Macaca fascicularis: one gene and its partner. The main gene of each other region encodes a partner of the protein of the gene in region 2 in a complex. Links are inferred from orthologs where the notes say so. Each region holds a gene or a part of one and is shown on either strand. Other genes may lie near its edges.

The links. The genes of interacting proteins can lie anywhere in the genome.
Region 1: the proteins of ITGB1 (region 2) and FERMT2 are in contact, whole or in part, in a crystal structure (PDB 8TEE), measured with the Mus musculus proteins. The link is inferred for Macaca fascicularis from reciprocal best matches to the Homo sapiens genes ITGB1 and FERMT2. Residues at the interface, in NP_034708.1 of Mus musculus: Ala786, Val787, Thr788, Thr789, Val790, Val791, Asn792, Pro793, Tyr795, Glu796, Gly797; in NP_666166.2 of Mus musculus: Phe609, Ser610, Asn611, Met612, Lys613, Gln614, Trp615, Asn616, Val617, Asn618, Trp619, Glu620, Ala629, Asp630, His647, Ile654, Ser657, Thr658, Lys674, Leu675, Ser677, Gly678.

The regions. Positions count from the first base shown.
Region 1 is NC_088381.1:120,696,640-120,706,625, forward strand, and holds the end of FERMT2 (fermitin family homolog 2), read right to left. Parts: intron 7,094-9,986; coding exon 7,070-7,093; intron 6,533-7,069; coding exon 6,512-6,532; intron 5,968-6,511; coding exon 5,843-5,967; intron 5,529-5,842; coding exon 5,387-5,528; intron 4,344-5,386; coding exon 4,170-4,343; 3' UTR 3,082-4,169; downstream 1-3,081. UniProt on the Homo sapiens protein: Scaffolding protein that enhances integrin activation mediated by TLN1 and/or TLN2, but activates integrins only weakly by itself. Binds to membranes enriched in phosphoinositides.
Region 2 is NC_088383.1:33,705,933-33,716,908, reverse strand, and holds the start of ITGB1 (integrin beta-1), read left to right. Parts: upstream 1-4,660; 5' UTR 4,661-4,763; intron 4,764-4,936; exon of another isoform or gene 4,937-5,860; intron 5,861-10,976.

The sequences.
Region 1 (9,986 bases), on a different chromosome or scaffold from region 2:
TGATCTCACTGCATCACTAACTGATCATTAAAAGCATCTTAAATAAGATTCAACATTTTTTTAAAAAGTAGAAATACAGTATACAGAATAACAGTATAGTCTGTGACATACTTGCTTTTTGTCCTCTGTAAGAGTAGAGGGTCAAGAATGGCAAGTAGCTTTTCCTTGATAAAGTTCGTGTCTCTAGCTCCTTGACTTTGAAAGTTCAAGGCATGTAAAATACAATTTGTACTGAGTTGAGATTACTGATTAACTACGTCACCATCAGGGGCTTCCAGCAGGTTTTTTTTTTTTTTTTTTTTTTTGAGATGGAGTCTCACTCTGTCGCCCAGGCTGGAGTGCAGTGGCGCAATCTCAGTTCACTGCAACCTCCACCTCCTGGGTTCAAGCCATTCTCTTGCCTCAGCCTCCTGAGTAGTTGGGGCTAATTTTTGTATTTTTAGTAGAGACGGGGTTTCACCATGTTGGCCAGGATGGTCTCAATCTTTTGACCTCGGCCTCCCAAAGTGCTGGGATTACAGGCGTGAGCCACCGTGCCCGGCCAGGGGCTTCCAGCAGGTTTCTAACCTGCTGATCTAAGGTAAAAAGTTGGATGGGAGCTAGGTTGGGGTCCTGTCACCAGTGCTTTCATATCCACATGAGCTTGAGTCACATGGAGCAGAAAGCTGAACCTAGGTCTCTGAGTCCCAGCTGGTGTTCTCACAGACCTATGTTCTCTCTAGAGAGGTCACTACTAATGGTGTTCTCAGAATTCATGTAAGGTTTGTTTTTACTACTACTAGATAGGAAGATGATTGGCCTTGGCAGTAATCATAGATGTCTGACTTTAAACAGGTCAGTTGGCCTCCTCTAGCTTCATCTATAAAATGATGAGGCTGGACTGTATGCATCCTTGAGAGAATATGAGTACTTAGCATGCTTCCTATTGCATAGTTGGTGTCCAAAAAAAAAGAGTTAGTTTGCTCTGTATTAAACTATACTGAGGCTACACAAACTCTTAGTTCTAATAATAATTCCTTTGGTTATTTGGTTTGGTTAATAATTTTGTTATTTCCAAAATAACCATCATTATATTCAATAAACCCATGTGTAAGTGATCCTAAGTAGGAACCATAGCACTGAGATCCAGTCCTCAAGGATGTAATGATTTGGATACTCTAGTTCCACAGAAGGACCAAATTCAACCAAATCCTCAAACATGTAATAATTTGTTAGGGGCGACATGATATACTCAACCATAATAAGGATGATCACTCTTTAGTTCCGCAGAAGGACCAAATTCAATGGCAGTTCAGAAGAGGAAGAGAGTTTTTTGGCTGCAAGGAAACTTGAAAGTGTTTATAGAAGAAAGAACACTTGAGTTTTTTTCTTTTTTTTTTTTTGGGATGGAGTCTCACTTTGTCACCCAGGCTGGAGTGCAGTGGTGAAATCTTGGCTCACTGTAACCTCCGCCTCCTGGGTTCAAGCGATACTCCTGCCTTAGCCTCCCAAGTAGCTGGGACTACAGGTGCGCACTACCATGCCCGACTAATTTTTCTATTTTTAGTAGAGACGGGGTTTCATCATGTTGGCCAGGATGGTCTTGATCTCTTGACCTCATGATCCTCCTACCTCAGCCCCCAAAGTGCTGGGATTACAGGCATAAGCCACTATGCCTGGCTTTTTTTTTTTTTTTGAGATGGAGTGTTACTCTGTTGCCCAGACTGGAGTGCAGTGGCACAATCTCAACTCGCTGCAACCTCCACCTCCCAGGTTCAAGCAATTCTCCTGCCTCAGACTCCCCAGTAGCTGGGATTACAAGTGTGTGCCACCATGCCCAGCTAATTTTTGTATTTCTAGTAGAGACGGGGTTTCACCATCTTGACCAGGATGGTCTTGAACTCCTGACCTCGTGACCTACCTACCTCAGGCTCCCAAAATGCTGGGATTACAGGTGTGACCCACTGTGCCAGGCCCACTTGACCTTTTTCTAAAATGCTAGACAGATGAGGTGTAGACAGGTACAAACTGTACGAAGGTCCAGGACTAGACATTCCAGACTTGGGGAATGATAGGGAGATGGGATGAGTGCAAAGTGGAGAATGTGAGCTGCCCAGCTGGACTGCAATGCAGATTGTTGGGAGATAAGGATGAAAATGTGGGCTGGGAAACCATACAAAACCTCTGAGCACTTTACTTTGGCTTTTATCCTGTAGGCAATAAGAAGTCATTAGAGCTGAAATGCAGTCAGTGCTATGTTGGGGCTGGATTAATCTCAAAATCACTGGGAGGGCAGCAGGGCAAACTAGAAGTGGGGCAATCAGCACAGAGGCTATTCTCACTTGCGTGGAGGCCATGGGACTAGAAAGCACTTGAATAGGTGTGGTTTCAATGAATGTTTTGGGGCTTTCGGTAGGTGACATGCAAGTTGCTGAATATTCAAGTTGGTGACTTGCACAGTCACTTACTAAAGATGAGGAAAGGGAGTATATTTTAAAATGTTTAGTGGAAAGGTGCTCTTAAATTTTGGAGCAAGGCCTGTTATGGCTTTAGAGTGCAAAGAAAAGTCATGGAGAATGTGATCTCAGCCTTGTCTTAAGATGGTGCCACACTACAGCAGGCACAGGACAAAGAACTGAATTTGGATGATGGTGGCAGCAATAACAAAAGATGCAAGGCTGTGTGAGGGGAAAATCAGGAATTGGTCTACATGCAAAGGGTAAAGGACTAAAAAGTCTTGAGTCTTGAATGATGACAGCAGTAATGACTGGCAGTAAATTCGTAAACGTATTTTTTTTTGTAAAACAAGAATAATTTTGTTATTTAAAACAAATTCTGCCACAGCCAACTTCTATTTATAAGTACATTTCTAACATTTAGGTATTACACATTCATTTTTAAGTGTTAAGAAAATGAGGGCTTTTCAATTGAGGCGAAAGACTATCTTTGAGATAAAGTGTGTCTATCTGGCGATGATGTGGAATACTAACCCGTTGTTCTCACAAAATAACAACATGTAGGCAAAGCATTTCCAAAAGGCAGAAGTTCATTTCTACTAAATTGATACTATGTAAACATTAAAAACAAGTACAAAAATAACTATTAAATAAAAGTTTTGCTTTTATTTAAAATAAAATGCATTTATACAGTCTTTGAACCATGGATTATTGAACAATACTGGTAATCCACCTCTCCCTCGCACCCTTTTGGGCTATGTGAGCTAGGAATTTTCTGACTAGCACCAATACAGATTGTAACAGCGCAACAGACTAGAACATGGCCAGTCCAGGCATTAGAGTTAAGGACATTGTGGCAAATCATCATAATGAAGTCATTCTTAATTTAGTAGATATTAAAACTGCACATTAATTATATCTCTTAAAGGCATTTAATTAATGCAGAGATGCTACATTTAAGCCATTTGCTAGTTGTGAGTAGTTTTTAAAAAACTGTACAATTTTATAAAATTTGTGTTTGTACATTAGTTACACAAAATGCATACTTCATAGAACTTTACTTCATATTGTAATGCAAAGAGTTGCATATTTTAGGCAGACAGTGATTATGCTGGTGAATACTAAAAGTGTAATACAATATGGTGTAAAAATAAAAACACAAGACAATATACATAACATGCTTATTCAAGGACAAAAACAAATCAAGCACGACAGACTAATAGCATTTTCCTTCAAGGTCAAACACAATGACATTATTAAACATCAGGCCTCCTGCAGGCCTGATTTATTTGGGGGTGAGGGGAAGGAATTAAATGGCTACCAGAAGTAGGATATTTTAAAACATGATATCAAATTAAACATACATTAAAACACATGCATTAGACATGATAAATAGAGTTCATATAGGTTAAGGCCTGGATAGCTTTAAAATAGATGGCTTGTTTCTTACAGTTTGGCTAGCTTAAATCAGTGATGGTCTGTTCCTGATTTGCCCACTATTTCAGTTTTAAATTCATGGCCCTAAGGAATGTGTGCCAAATTCAAGTTTATTATATCCTGATAGATTAATAGTCGTGCTTGTTTAGTGCACATATTAACTGGTCTGGTAAGGCAAAGAAGTTTTCATGATAAAACGATAAATTTCAAGCTTACTTTATTAAGCAGCATATAACAAACAGCTTTTAAAGTTAAATATTGTTATGGCCGTGGAGTTTCATTAAACAGTATTTCTATTCACACCCAACCACTGGTAAGTTTGTAGAACATCTCTTCATCTAAACTCTCATTTTGGTCTTTTGCACGTGTTGAGAGAAATATGTAGCCACCAATGAATTCATGAACCACTTTGCAATCTACTTCAGTACAAATGAAGGACAATCGTACTTCATCTGCAAACTCTACGGTGACCTGGAACAAAGACAAGAATCATCAGTGCTGTCCCGAATGCCAGGTGGCGGGGTCCACACAAAACGACTCACACAACTACTGCGCTACTTAAAGCCGGTCCCATCAGAAAACACTTGTTGATCCTCAAATAATTAGTCTGTTTAAAACCTAAACTAGTAATGCCTTTAAGTCCCAAAGAAGAAGTTAAGTTTATTGCCCTTCCCCTACCCTTTTTTAAGTTTTCATGTTCTGAAAAGGAAGACTAGGAATGCAAGGGTTTTAGGTCATTCAGTTCTCAAATGGTCTCTGACGATTCAATTAACGAGAATGCCTCTCTTCAAGTCCTGGAGGAAAGCCTCCTTCCTGTGTTTTAATATTTGCTTCAGCTATTTAAACTTTAGGTATCACGTTTGAGTATTTCAGAAATATAAGATTCTTTGAAGTAACATGAATTGATACAATAAATCCAATATGATCCTAAACCAAATGACTTATTAGTAAAAGATTGTTCAATTTAAATGATATTTGTGTACTCCAAGACCAGGGGCAACATGATGTACAGTGGTAAATGTGCCAGGTTTTTAAGCCTAAAGCATCTGAGTTTGAAATGACTCTGTAGTTACTTTGTGCGTGGTCATAGACAATGGTGGCCCTCAAGCCTCTATATTGCAGTGTCTTCATTTGTAACGTACGGTAATCCAACTACCTTAAAAGGCTGTGATGAGGTTTTGAGATGGGGTACTAATGTAAGCCTCCAGTATCATGTCTGGCACAGGGTAGGCATTCAACAAATAGTAGTTGCTATTTCGGAGTAGAAGGGCTTTATCCATTACAGAAAGACAAAAAGGGCAACATTCTAAGCAAATTATATGCTTAGAATTTTAGTAACTGGGCTAATTATGAAATAGGCAAATTTAAGTGAGAAATGAATAGTCAACCATGGTCTGTCTGTACTTTAAGAGGTGGTGGTACAAACAATCATCAGAATTTATAGGCCTTTTTATTCCTAATATGCTAATTTGTATCAGAAGAACTATATTCAAGTAACATTGGGACGAGTTTACCATTTTGATTTCCCAGTTGACATTCCACTGTTTCATGTTGCTGAAACGCCATGTTTTAATTGCATCTCCGGTGCTGGCATCCATCCGAATCAGTCTGTTGTATGCAATTCCAATAAGTTCTTCTTTTTTGCCCCCTTGGAACCTATAATATTTAAGAAAAGAACAGTTACAACATGTCGTGGGGGAACATGTTGGACTGCTTTTCTTCAAGGTAAGTGTTCTCCAACCCTAAAAGAGTGCTATTCCCTTAGTAGTAAAACAAACACAATTATCTTGAATTTTTAATGTAGAAATTAAAAGCTTACAAAATACATTCTAACAGTCTTTGAATTCTACTGTAATATGAGTTAATGGGTCTACATAGGTATGCTTTAAATGTTTAATATCTAATTACATGACATAGATGAAGCAAAAATGCAGATTAAGGTTTACACATAGATGCTTAGAACCACTGACCTTGCAATGAAGTGTGTGATGCCAAATTCAGGTAATGACTGCCAAGCTTGAATAAATCTCATCTTGGCTTCAATTAGACTCATCTGAGCTACATTCTGATGGGCCTCCAAGATTCTCGCTGTTATCTAAACATGATTAAACATCACCTTTACCATTGAACATTATTCTCTCATGGGACAATCGAGACAAAAGATCAAAAGATTGAATTACGTACCCCGTACCCCAAAATCACATTGTAAGAGTTGAAATCAAAATATCTGAAGCTACATTTGGAAATTTTAATAATTATTATATAATGATTTTTCAAAATAAGTCTTAATTTCAGTTTTCATATATCAACAAAAAGTACTATTAGGAGTACACAGTTGCCACACTTGAGACATATTTCAAATGCATACAGATAATGGTACTACTATTATAGAACAGCACATTCTAATCCACATATAGATGAGTTTTAATTAAATTTAGCACTATGTCTATAATCAGAATGAATACCTGGAATACAAGTTTCTAGCAGGATTATCTGTTAGCAGCTTTAAGGTACTTGAAATCACCGTAATCATTTTTATTTTAAATTTCACTACGGGAGTAAATTCCATGAGGGAAGGTTGTGGCTATGAATTTTTTTTTATTCTTCTTTTTCTTTTTTGGTAAATATGGAGAACTTACCAAATCTCTTACATAGCCTGGCTGTAGATGGCAATGCGAGGAAAGAAAAAGGAAGCAGAAAGAAAAAAAAAGGCAATCAGAAAAAATGGCAATGAAGCAAAGAAAAAGTTGCGGTCACCTGCAAACCAAAATTCCAGCCAAAAGTCATGCAAAAAACTACTTTAGGTAGAAACCAAGCAAAGTAAATGCAAGAATGAAAAATGAAAATGAGGAAGCAGCAATTACTTTCCATTTAGAACACTGAGAAACACTCCACATTATTTTAGAATGTTAAATGTTACTAAAGAACCTAAGGGTAGAAATTTGTAGGGAGAAAATAAAAAGAGCAAATATTTCTTTCCCCCTACATCATGTACCCAGTTCTCACTGGTTAGGATAAAGCCAATTATTTTAGTAGCAAAATAAAAGTATTCAAAAGCCTTTAAAGTATTCTCAGATTTAGTCAGATAATATGATCCATGCACTGCTTTTCAGAAATAAGAATTTGAAGGCATAAAATAAGTGCAGTGCCCATCTGTTTTTTTTTTTTTACACAAGAAAAGCAAACCCCTCAGTTACCATGTGTTTTTTGCATCCTTTTTCCTGGAAGGGAAAATAAAGAGATGCCGTATACTACATGAGGAATTTCGGCTTTATGGCATTAGTCATTTCCATTTAGATTAACATAAATCAACATATAGAATAATTCTTCAAAATTTAAAAAGCCAGTTTGAGAGTCATATTTGTTTAAAAATACCCATAGAGTATTTAGTTAATATATGTATAATTGAAGGGAATTAAAGTAGGTTAAATACAACAGGTTATTTTGATAGACCCAAAAGAAAACTACCAGTCGATATGCCCTGGAAGGGAAGAATGTCCTTGTGGCCTGCACATCTTCCTACAGACTCCAGAATGCAACTGGATATAGCTTAATAATTACTGAGCACTACGTCCAGTGTGACTAGTGTGGTGTCTGACACACAGTAGCAACTAAGCTTCTGAGGATCACTACTTACTAGGCGCCAGGGCAGTAATATCTGGAAACAATTTTCTTTTTTTCCTGAGACAGAGTTTCACTCTTATTGCCCAGGCTGGAGTGTGATGGCTCACTGCAACCTCCGCCTCCCAGGTACAGGCGATTCTCCTGCCTCAGCCTCCCCAGTAGCTGGCATTATAGGCATGCACACCACCATGCCTGGCTAATTTTTGTATTTTTAGTAGAGATGGGGTTTCACCATGTTGGCCAGGCTGGTCTCAAACTCTTGACCTCAAGTGATCCGCCTGCCTCGGCCTCTCAAAGTGCTGGGATTACAGGCGTGAGCCACTGTGCCTGGCCAACAATTTGTAAGTCTATTCCAGCAAAGTGTGGTGGCTCACGCCTGTAATCCCAGTGCTTTGGGAGGCCAAGGCAGGCGGATCACTTGAGCTCAAGAGTTTGAGACCAGCCTAAGCAACATAGCGAGAGCTCGTCTCTACAAAAAATACAAAAATTAGCCTGGAGTGGCAGTGTGTGCCTGTGGTTCTAGTTACTAGGGAGGCTGAGGTAGGAGGATTGCTTGAGCCTGGGAGATGGAGGCTGCAGTGAGCTTGAGCTATGATGGTGCCACCGCACTCCAGCCTGGGAGACAGGGCAAGACTCTGCCTCAAAAATAACAAAATACACACCAAAAACCTAACCTATCACTCTGGTGAGAGAAAGTAGGGTTAAAAATGTGCATTTGATTAGATGGCAACATGAAAGGCAAGGCCAGAAGGATCTTTAACCATGGACCACACACAAACTGTCCTCCTGTCAGTTAAAGATGAATCCTCATCTTTGTTCTCAGGAGAATTTTCAGTTGATAGTTTCTAGTCAAGAACTATCATTTAAAAGGCCTCTGAGAAAACAAATAGTTGACAGTGAAAATAATGTGTGTGGCCGGGCGCGGTGGCTCAAGCCTGTAATCCCAGCACTTTGGGAGGCCGAGACGGGCGGATCACGAGGTCAGGAGATCGAGACCATCCTGGGTAACACAGTGAAACCCCGTCTCTACTAAAAATACAAAAACTTAGCCGGGCGAGGTGGCAGGCGCCTCTAGTCCCAGCTACTCGGGAGGCTGAGGCAGGAGAATGGCGTGAACCCGGGAGGCGGAGCTTGCAGTGAGCTGAGATCCGGCCACTGCACTCCAGCCTGGGTGACAGAGCGAGACTCCGTCTCAAAAAAAAAAAAAAAAAAAAAAAAAAAAAAAAAAAAGAAAATAATGTGTGGCAGTTCTCGTTTAAGCTCGTCTATCTCCCTGATACCTTACTGTGAAATGATAAAACTGGTCATAAAACAGGTTTGAAATTACTTATTGCCTTTGAAGGCAAATATATTCACTTTTAGAAACAAGATTCTGTATAATTTTAAAATGAAATAACTACGAATATGAAAAATGAAATTAGCACTTGCTTTACTTTCCCTTTTTAACTTACAATCTACATTCCACACAGTTCCCCAGGGCAGCATTTCCTCCATTCCTTACTACTCCCACATCATATGACCATGGGATAAACAATTTCTAGGCTTACACAACCTCTGAGACTTAAAGACAAATACTCTGTGATTAAAACCTCTGAACATTTAGGTAGAAATAATTTCAGACCCATATAATCAATATTATATTTAAAGTTAAGGAATTAATAAGTGTTCTGGGCATTTCATTGAGCCTTTTCAGTATGTTTTAAAATTACTCCTTAACAAAGATTAAAGCACAATTAGATAAAAACAAAATATTTATTTTAAAGGTCTTCATCCCCCCCACCCCCAAATTGAAGCCTTTTCCTTTTATGGCATGATGTTGGGTGCAGGGAATACCAGGGCCTATCCCAAGTGAAATTCCCCTGTAAAGGACTTTTATGTTGTACCAAAGAACCATTTTCCTAAGTAGCAACCCTTTTATGGTATTAATTTCCAAAGAAAAGAATTCTAAACAGAGTGGACAAAAGCAAATTTCAATGAAAATTTACCAAACTGTGTAACTATGTATAAAATTTTGGTTAGGTTCTGACTGATAATGTTAAGAAAAGACACAGCTAAAAATATACTCTTGTAAAGTTTCATTCTAAAGTTGGAAAAGCCCATTTCAACAATAGTTGGTATTATGAATTTTGTTGGGAAATGCTGGCTGCACTTTACGTCACATTTACTTAATTATATAAGGAATAAAATTAAATAAATTAAGGAATGCAAAGCATTGAGACCATATTCAATTCCCTAAAATGTCTGAAAGAACATCATCATGTTAACAGAATGATTTCTGCAAGTTGTTTAGAGTAAGTTCTCAACTATTCTGCCTCCTTATTAAAATGATAAAGATTTGTTTTAAATGACCAATTTAAACTTGACTAAAGGTTACTTTATTTCCTACAGGTTGAGTATCCATTATCCAAAATTCTTGGGACCAGAAGTGTTTTGGGTTTCAGATATTTTTGGATTTTGGAATATTTGTATTACACTTACCGGTTGAGGATC
Region 2 (10,976 bases):
AAATATTTGGAAGCACTATCTGATGGTTTAAATATTGTTTTAGATAAGACTAATCAATATACAACTCACAGTTCCAGGGCAACCACAGAGACATTTGTTTAGGCATGTAGTCTCTAAAAGAACTAATCGTGTAAGTGCTTAAAATAGTTATTCTTAATGTTTTGTTGTTAAGATCTCATTCAAAACACAACAATGCAGATATATAAGTAAAATTCTGTCTAGAATTTTAGGGGTTTCATAGTATCCCGTTCATAGGCATGAGGCAAGAACTCGGCCTAAGATAGTATGTTGTGGGGATTAATTTGTGTGTTCTAGGGGAAGAGGGTGGGAGGGAGGTGCAGGGAAGATGTTCTTACTTACCCCAAATGCCTTTTTTTAAGTGAAAAGTATCCTTCCTACTCCCTAATGTACCTGGCCTGAAATTGAGCTGTTCCTAACTTAAAATTGCAACTGCTAACTTTCCTCAAGATGCAGTTAAATGAGGAAAGAAATAATATTTTTTATAGTCACTAGCTGTAACACATTGGCAACACAATCATTTCCTGTAATGAGTGACCCTGGTTCCTAAAAATAACTCCAGTGCTAGTCAATTGCTTATATTGGGCATTTTTTTAATTCTTATTTGGGAAGGACATTCCCTTCCACAGCTGAAGAAACTCAGTGTTTGAAAAGAGCTGCCTAAAAGACTGTTCCCCATAGGCTGTTAAAAATGTTCAGCATCTGAATGCTGGTAAGGAATGCTCACACCCATTGGAGGCAATGCTGTGTGGACTCGAAAAGGAAAAATGGGGCCCCTATATATGGAAAACAGGAAGCAGAACAAGTTGAGGAAGCCTTACTCATCTGTGACCCATATTCAAAGCCATAGTCCAGCCACTGTTAGTTACCTAGAAAAGGAAAAGGCTGAATGGCTAGCCTAAGCTCTAAGGGACACATTGCAAATCAGGTCAGACTGTTGTGCCATTTTCCACCTTATTTTCAAATAAGCAAAGAAATGAAGCCTCAGTACAGCCTGGTGGATACACTGACACATGCCATACCTAGTCAATTGCTGGTTGCCTGATAGCAAACTTAATTTTTTACAGTTCCTCTGGCAATACTCCGTTATGAGTATAGAAGAGTGCTCACTAAATTGAAGCCCTCAAGCAAAAAAAAAAAAAAAAAAACAAGTTGCAAATTCAATACACTTCCAGTTTCTCTGCATTATATGACTATTTGCATGTTATTTATACATATGGAGACTGAAAAAGGAGGAACTGGCAGGACCGTCTCACCCCTTCTTGTTTTTCAAAATGTCAATAATTCCCAGGGCTGCTTTACACCAATACACACAGATTCACATTTTTAGAGATGGGTCTCACTGTGTTGTCCAGGCTGGACTACAGTGGCATGATCATAGCTCCTGGGCTCAAGAGATCCTCCCACCTCAGCCTCCTGAGCAGCCGGGACTACACACATGCACCACCACACCTGGGTAATTTTATTCTTCATTTTTCAGTTGGGGCCTGGGGTCGGTGGGGGCAGTGGTCTCACTATGTTGCTCAGTCTGGTCTCCAACTCCTGATCTCCAGCAATCCTCCTGCCTGAGCCTCCTGAGTAGCAGATTCACATTTTACAACAGTGATTTTAGTTTCTCAGGTAAAGGAATGGAGTTATTCATGATTCAGAAGCACTTCTATGTTAGTATTACATGATGTTATCAGAGACCTCTATTCCTTCCATCCCTATCCCTTCATCTTTTTCTTTGTTTAATGTTTAAAGGAGTTACATTCAAAGAAACTGGAAGTGACAGATGAGAAAAATATATCTAGCTTAGTCTACAGAAACAGTCGTTAGAAAAGTGGCTGAAGACTTACCTAGCCGTTGTCAATCAATTTGCTCCAAAGTCATCGCATACATTTATTATACAATGGTATTTAAAATCCAAGTCCCATTGATCAGCCAGGGGACTGTCAAGACTTTTTTCTTAACAAAATCTCCTAGTAGGGCATTTTCATCACACAGCAACTGCCTAATTCTTCATACTCACCCCCATGCTGCAACTCACATTTTCCCCTTACTATCACCAATGTTGAAATTAGTCTTCCTCTGTAAACCTGGAACCTGATTTGCAATATATCATGAATCTCTTTTGAATTTCTAAAATTATTCTTCTTATTCCTTATTATCTGGACACTGTTCTTTATAGAATGATCATATAAGTTATCATCTATACTAGGACATACTTTTGAGAGGGAAAAGGGGTGCTAATCAATAATAATATAAGTCAAACTAATAAAAACCTAGGCATCCAATAATGTCTTTCTTGCTGAGCAACTTTGAAACTTTACTTTGGAAAATGTTAGGTGAATAAAGATACATTTTGAAGAGCAAGTAGTAATATCACCAGTGACAAAACTAAAGGAAACATCAACTTTAATTATTTGACATAATAATGACTTAAAAGATGGCAGAAGACAATTGATAATAATTGGGAGACAATGTAGGTAAAGTATGGATTTGTCTTGAATTCAAGACACTAATGATGTTTTATTAGGTTGGTGCATGCAGCCATCTGGTTGACCTTAGACATGGGAAGGCAAGAGCCCTCTGATTGACCTTAAACATGGAAAGGTGAGAGCTATCTGGTTGATCTTACACATGGGAAGGCAAGAGACATCTGGTAGACCTTGCACCAACCTAATATGATAAGATCTAGCAATGTGGCTTGCAGTATTCCTACTTACCAGGATTTCCTGTTTAGCACGTATGCTGACCAATCTTTGCTTATTCATAAATTTCATAGTTAGCTCACTGTCCACCCATTATTTGTATGAAATCACAAGTAGACTCGTACTCTTGACCGATCACTGCTTTTCTTAGAGAACATGTTTCTTTAATTTCTTTTTCCTCAAAACTCGTGACTTCTGTACACAAATTGCTACCTCACACATCAGTTTAGTCAAGTCCCGGGAGAGCAACAGGACCCATTTATTCATTTATCAGATATTATCTGAGCCCCTATTATGTGTCCTCACAACAGTGCTCGACAGTGGTGTTAAAAAGGTCAGTAAATTGCCCTGGAGGAACTAATTTAGTTTAGAGTTGTGCATATGTAAACCTCATAATGTTCTTGTAGCAAAGATTAGCCAGTGCCTCCACCAGTCATATACAGGAGAAAAAATTCTGAGAATTGTAGTGCAAATCAGGCATGGACCAATTATGCTTTTGAACTATACAGTTTTCTGTAATGAGACTGGGCTAATTCTGATGAATTCTCAACAATGGTAAAATCCATACCTTTAAAATTCAAGAATGTTGTGTTCTAATGGCAGTTTGACCATTGAGATATTAACATAGGAACATCATTTAGCCTCTTAAGCTTGAACATCCATTAAGCGGGAAAAATAGTGCTTATTTCCTAGAGGTCTGCAGACATTGGCTAACCAATAGTTTTGATTTTGCTGGTAAGTAATGTGCAAATTTTCTTAGATGTGATCGCCTCATTTTCTCTTATATTTTAGATTGGCAGCAGCCAAATGGGCGTTCCAGCCCCTCATCTCCTGCAAGATTCTTCTCAGTTTCATAAATCTGGTAATTTTTGAGCTCTTTTCCCAACAGGGTGCTGCAGCTCACCAAGTGGAACCTACAACATTTTCTGCTACCAGGATAGCAGCTTGCCAGCAGCGTATACTGAAATTACTGGGTTTCAGTATGATGTTGGTTGGTACGAACTTCAATCATCGAATCGACATGCGCCCAGCCATTCTCATAATGAATGTTTCCTTCTCTTTCAAACGTTCTGTTTCCAGCCCCCATCTCCTTTTTTTTTTTCTTTTTTAAAGAGGTTTGAAACAGAAACTCTACTCCGTAGGAAGAAACTTTTCCTTCTCATCCCTGTTCCCCATAAAGGGACCTCCAGATAAATCTATCAAAAGCAGGACCCAACTCACCAGGTTTTCTAAAACGTTCCCCAGTCCCACCACCCTTCGTGGCACCCACGGGTTTCCCAAGTCTTCACCTTTCTCTTAGACACACGCTAGCACATTATCACTCCAGAAAAGCAGTCCTGGCTTAGCCAGTTCCCTTCCAGAATGACCACGTGGTTTTTGGCCCCATGGAGTCCTGCAGGGTATGGGGGGGTTCATGGTACCGATTTGCCTCGGGACTGAGGGGGCTTCCGGGATGCAGGACCTCCCGGGCTCTCAACGGGACATCAGTGGACAAACGGGAGGGAGGGTCGGACACGCGGATCCGAGGAAGCGGAACTTAAAGAACACGGGCCCAGCAGGCTACACCAGGAACGCGCGGGGCTTTAGGGCGCAACCGACCCCTCCCGCCCTTCACAGAGGAGGAAACTGAGGCATGGCGACTGTCTCAGCGGAGTCCCGGCCCTGCCCTCCACGGCCTCCCTCAGGCGCGCTCCCGAGCGGGCCAGTTCCTTTGTCCCGGTCGCGCTTCCTGCCTCCTCCTGCGCCTCCTCCTCGCCCCGGGGCCGGGCTGACGCGGCGGGAGAGGAATGCGTTTCCGGAGGGAGAGGGCGGTGGCGGCCTCGGGAGCGGGATCAGACGCGCAGAGGAGGCGGGGCCGCGGCTGGTTTCCTGCCGGGGGGCGGCTCTGGGCCGCCGAGTCCCCTCCTCCCGCCCCTGAGGAGGAGGAGCCGCCGCCACCCGCCGCGCCCGAGACTCGGGAGGCCCCGCCAGCCCGCAGGAGAGGCCGAGCGGGAGTCGCGGAACAGCAGGCCGGAGCCCACCGCGCCGGGGCCCGGACGCCGCGCGGAGAAGGTAGGCGCCGGCGGGCCTCGGGTGTGGGGGTGCGGGCCGCGGCCTCGGGTCTGCGGTGCGCAACAGCACTTAACAGCCGCCGGCCCGGGCCGCGCCGGGACCTTTGTGCCAGGCGTGGGGGCGGGGGCGGGGGCGGCCGCGGGCCGGTGGGGGCTGGGGCGGGATTCCAGGCTAGTCCGGGAGGAAGTCCGCACACCGCCACCCCCCTCGGGTCCCAGGCGCTGGCAGCGTCCGGGCGCCGAGTCGGCCCAGCCGCGTTCCGAGCGCTAGGGTCGCGGGCCTGGGCGCTGTCACGTCGGGGCTGCTGGAGCTGCGGAGGACCGGGCCTGAGCGGCTCCTGACACCTGCGGTCTCCCGCCAGGCTGGGCGAGCGCAGGTGGGAGCCAGCGAGGCCACCCGGGGCTCGGCGTTTAGGACTCAGCGCGCCCCTGGACTGGTCCTGCGCCTTTGTCTCTCGCTCCCTCGCTGGCTGCTGTTTTTGGAGCAGCGTCGAGCCGGCCGTCGGCGCCCGCTGTTGGGACTGGTCTTCTCCGACTGGAGCCGGGATAGAAAGTGGCCTCGCGGAGCCGCTGGGGACCGGGGGCGCGGCGGCGGCAGTGCAGTTCACTTCCCGGTGTTTATAAACGCGAATGCCGGGAAGTCAAGAGTCGCCGGCCCCTGCCGGGCACCCCGGGACCAGGACACAGGGCCACGGCCACTTTGCGCTCAGACCCGGTCCGCGAGCCTGAGAGCCCGTCCTGTGTCTAGTATCATTTTTACCGCGTGTCATTTCTTAGGCTTCATAAATTGGATTTATGAGACTCCCACTCTCTAAGTAACTTTCATTTAATCAAATTCGTGCTTTTAAGTCCAAAGCTTTGCACTCATTGGTATGATCATTAGTAAATTGCATTCTCTAAGCTTCCGTTTCCTCATCTGTGAAATAGGAACAATACTACCTACACTAATAATTCATTTTTATAACAATGACAGCGAGGGCCAGGTTTAGCTCTAGGCATTTCATGTGTATTATTTAATTCTGGAACTGCTCTAATGAGATTGCTACTGTTTCTATTTCCATTTTCCGAGTGAAGAAACGGAGGCACAGGGAGCAAAAAGTAAGTTGCATATGGTCATCGGGAGCTCCTGGAGAAGGCATGGGGTCTAGCTCCAGAGCCTACGTTTAAACCAAAAGTAACCTTCCTAACTATAGTCGTGAAAATCAAATGCAAAATGTAAAACACTTAGCTTGAGAGTAGATGCTCAATGAATATTGACTGCTTTTCAGCCCTTCTTTTATAGTAAAAAGATTTCTCGGAAGGTAATTGGTAACATCATTAGTAAGGTTTCTTTGGGCCAACGTGCCACATGGATAACAGGTGGATAGAATTGCTAGGTTATTTTGTTTTGTTTTGAGACAGGGTCTCTGTCGCCCAGGCTGGAGTGCAGAGGAGCTATCACAGCTCACTGCAGCCTCAGCCTCTCGTGCTTAAGTTATTTTTCCACCTCAGCCACCTGAGTAGCTGGAACGACAGGCGCCTGCCACCATGCCCGGCTAATTTTTTAATTTTTTGTAGAGACAGGATTTCACTATGCTGCCCAGGCTGGCCTCAAACTCCTAGGCTCAAGCAGTCCTCTCTCCTAGAGCTCCCAAAGTGTTGGGATTACAGACTTGAGCCCCCTGAGCCTGGCCCTTAGGTTATTATTATTTTTCTTATTGTACTTCTGATGCTACAAAAATAACGTTCTAGAGGAATTTAGACATCTTTCTTAAACCACATATGCCCTTTACGATAGGGTATACAATAGGCCACTTTTAGAAATGATTAAGGAACTTTAGTTGGCAGTTACCTGTTCATTTGTGGACATCAAGGCCCAGAGGGGTCAGGACTTAGAGTCTCACTGTAATTCTCATATTTTTAAATAATGTTGGCTCATTGATCAATATTATATAAGTGACTGAAGATGGTGAAGTGTTAAATAAAAAACATTGGTATTTTGATTACAGGCATTTGGGGGGAAAGCCATTTTACTTACCCCAAAATTGAGTATGAAGGTGGAAGATGTTATTAGAATACTAGCTAAAAGGACAAAGAATGTGGTTAATAGTTTAATTGTGTAAAAAGGAAGCAAATAGACTGTTTAACTCATCTATGTTGACTTCAGACCTAGACCTACAATTTTATGTGATTTTCCTAACAATGTAAAGTTCTGTATTAAAGTTATTTTTGAATACCTTCAACATTCTGTACATGAAATGCATGGAATCAACAATTCTGAAAGTCACTGCATTTAGTAATTTTAACAATTAGGCAGCTTTCTTCTTAGCTTTCTGGTCAGTATAATTTAATTTAAATCAGCCCCAAATTACCATCACGAATGAAAATGTAGTTCTACATTGGTGTTCTTCCTAACTCTGGGAGTGACACTGGGGACAAATGGTCATACTATAATAATGAAAAGTGGTCAAACAACATGGTGCCAGTTTTTCTAAGAGTGCTTGCCACTGATTTTAATGTCTTTATTGTTTGACTTCTTGATAAGTAAGTTGTGGCTTACAGCAGGGAGTAGTACAGTGTTCTGTCCGAAAAAAATATTCATTAATATTCTGTAGCTGCTCTGGTTTGCCCTTAACCATGCTGCTAGTGTGATAAGCTGAAACATCTTGTAAAAGTTTCAGAGAGCTTTCAAGTTCCGAGAACTTAACTTTCTGAGTATGTAACAAGCTACATATATCTGAAAGGATTCATTTGGACTTCTGTCAGATTTTAGCAGATTTTCTCACTCTACGAGAGAGTTAGGATCTGTTAGGTTGTGGGTGGAATCCTAGAGATTATGCCAGGTAAATATGTAAGTGTCTGTATTGTATTAGCAGTGTTTACTCTGACTTGGTTCTAGGTTCTGAGAATTTGGCTGGTTGTTTTTTCAGAGGTGGGAAGTGTGGAGTAGAGAGGTTAAGATACAGAAAGGTACATTCGTCTTCTGAATCCTGAAGTGTCATGCTAGGGGTATCTATAGCTGTGGAAAACTGAAAGAATATTATGGTATGTACCCAGGTTAAAGGGGGTACAGTGCGTAAAAGTCAGAATATTAGCAGCCTTCCAATATGTCTGTCGGTAGGTGAAAAAAAATTTCTCTCTTTCAGGAGCTGTGTACAAAAGGATCCAAACTATACTTTATACATGTGTTACTGCTTTAAAAGTGGCTGTGAGTGTTTAGAGGTCAACTGACTTTAAACTTGCCGTTTGATTTGTGACTTTAGAAAGTAGAGTTAACTATATTTAGCAATATGCTTAAACATGTGCATATCACCTCATGAAACATGTGTGTGCATGAGAAAAGCTGCCTCCAGTACATATACATATGTATATAAACACACATACACACAAGCATATATATGTATGTATTTCTTGTAGGACCAGTCTCATTGTATATAATTTCAAAGTGCAGGTTCCTGATCTCCAGGGGTGCGTAAAAAGACTCACTGAAGTATGGGAAGAAAATTTTAGGTCTACTATTATGTTTGTTGATCTCATCACTTCAAAGTTTAAAATTTTGATTATGATTTATATCTTACTGTATTGCTGTAGAAGTACACGTATTTGAATTTATAAATTACATGTATTTTGGGTACATGTATGCTTAGAATTTTTTTAGTGATAAAGGTGAGTGGTCAGAAACCTTTGCAGATCCCCTATATGGAGGATGATTTGAGTGGAGTTCAAGAACTAGTATATTTAGGAGGGAGAATTGAAAAGACTTGATAAGAGAAATGAAAGAAACCCAATGTGACACTGGTTTCTGGCTAGGAGGTGCTGTTCACTGAGGTGAGAGGGTGACCACAAGCCGGGGCTGCTGGTTGGCTGGAGCAGAGGGGAAATGATGACCTTATGAGGCTGAGTTTTATTTTTTTAAGGTGACCGGGGACATAGGTGGAGATGTCTAAATTGCAGTTGAATACACAGGGTAAGAGCTAAAAAAAAAAAAAAAAAACAAAAAACAAACAGATTTCAATTTGGAAATTCTCAGTCTATTAAGTACTGGTTGAAGCTATAGGCTGTGCATGCAAACACCAAAGGAGGGTGTGGAGTGAAAAACGGACTGAAGGAGGACCTGGGAACAGTCAAGGTGGGTAGAGGAAGAGGAATCCAGAAAAGCATTTACCTTCCCCAGTTTCTTCTCTGAACTTCTAATTCCTTTGAGTGACATTTTTGTGAGTGACAAAGGTATTTCTGGGTTTTTCCAGTGATTGGCATGTTTGAGTTAAAGACAAAAAGACTTCATTGGTCACATCCCTTTGTGGTAATTTATTTTCAGGTACCTGATCAGAGAAGCAGTTTGATGTAGTAAAGGCTTCTCGATTGCGAGGCAGGAAACCTGGGTGTCAGTGCAGGGTCTGCCACTGAATTTCTGTGTGACCTTTGTCAGAGTACTATACTTCCAGGGCATTGGTTTCCACATCTACCCTATAAAGCAGTCTGCATGTTTCTGTCGTTTTCTTGTTCCAGGAGTTGGAGGATAGCTGCTGCCTGATGTAAGTAGAATGCAGTTCTCTCACCCCATGAGCAACCTTTCTTTTTTTTTTTTTTGTATCACCAGAGAGTGTAGGCGCCGTGCCACTTACTCCTTTAAGGATGCCTGCCAGCGCTGACCAGCAACATCTGTCACAACATCTGTCACAACAGCTCTGCATCAGGATGTAGCTCGGCTGTACATTACATTTTATTCTATCAGTACATTGAGTACCAGTTACCTGAAAAATGCTTTACTCATTGGGCATGAATCAAGAAGTCGGCATGGTCTTTGATGTTGAGTCTGTTGTCTAGTTGGAACAAGTTGTGTTCGGTTCAGGAAAACATAAATACCAAAGAGTGTTTTATACAATGTACTGTACCATAAAATATTCCCTAACAGCGTTAGAAAAATCTCAGCATTGTCTTGTGTGGTTTCGGAACACGTTGTGTAGGAGATGAGGCCTGAGCTTGGAATGGTATGAGTGAAGGTTGGAAGACAGATGGGTGGCACTTTCAAGGGACAGCATAGGAAGAATCCAGTCTAATTTCACAGATAGTACTTGGCCACTTTGTTACTTATTAGGAGTTATGTATAATATCATATATGTATCACAATGATATATGAAGGCTATATTTTAAAATGAAAGCCTGGATTCTTGCCCTCCAACACTAGCCTGATGAGAGATACAGACATGAATAAAATTAGTTATAATAGAAGTTTGAACAGAAATAACACTATATTATTGAGCATCACTGAAGGTTTGTCATTCACTGTGCTGGCCACTATCAAGGCTATTTTGGAACCACAAAGAAGGAGTAATTAAGTTGATTGTGATTGGTGAGGAGATGAAGAGGCAATAAAGGCGGAAAGGAAGAAGAAAAATCAGCATTCTGTTTTGTGTAGGCGGAAAGGAAGAAGAAAAATCAGCATTCTGTTTTGTGTAGGGAGTAGTTTCAGTGGAGTGATGAGGAAAATATTTACATACAAAATTAGGTATGTACCATTTGAAGTATGGAAGTCACATTTTTCTGTATAAATGTTTATTGAATGAATATGTAAATAACTTAAGCTTTCATAATTTATGAAGTTAGGAATAGTAGATTATTCTTCCCCTATGCACAGTATTTTATGGTTTATGTATGATTTTCTTCATATGATTTCAGTGCTTCTTTTAAAGGGGTGGTACGGGGTCATGTTTGATTATTGGAGGAGGAAATTGGAGTTTGAAAAAGCATATTTGGTAGTATAATGTTATATTAGAAAAATGTTACAAAAAGTATAATAGGGAGTAAGATTTATGCTTATTAAAGAAGCATGGATTAAAAAGATTGAGAAACATTTGTTAAAGAGTCACTGAGGTTCTTGTTTTAGAAGGCCACGATTAATGAGTTGGAGAACAAGAAGCAAATTTGGTAATCAAGTAAATTATGAGCTGTTGATCACTTAGAAAGGTATTTGCTGATAAAAGCTTTCATATAATGATCATATTTTATCTTTCCAACAATTCTATGGTAGATACTATTTACAGCTTACTGATGAGTAAATTGAGAAACTCTTTTCTTCCTATGTTTATCATGGTTTTAAAACATTTATCATATATTTAAAATACTGTATGCACTCCACCACAGACAGGATGGAGAGGAAGATGTGACAAAAGATGTGGTTAAAATTAGTTTTAATCAAGGAAGCATTTTGGAATGATCTGCTTAAAAAGGGGAT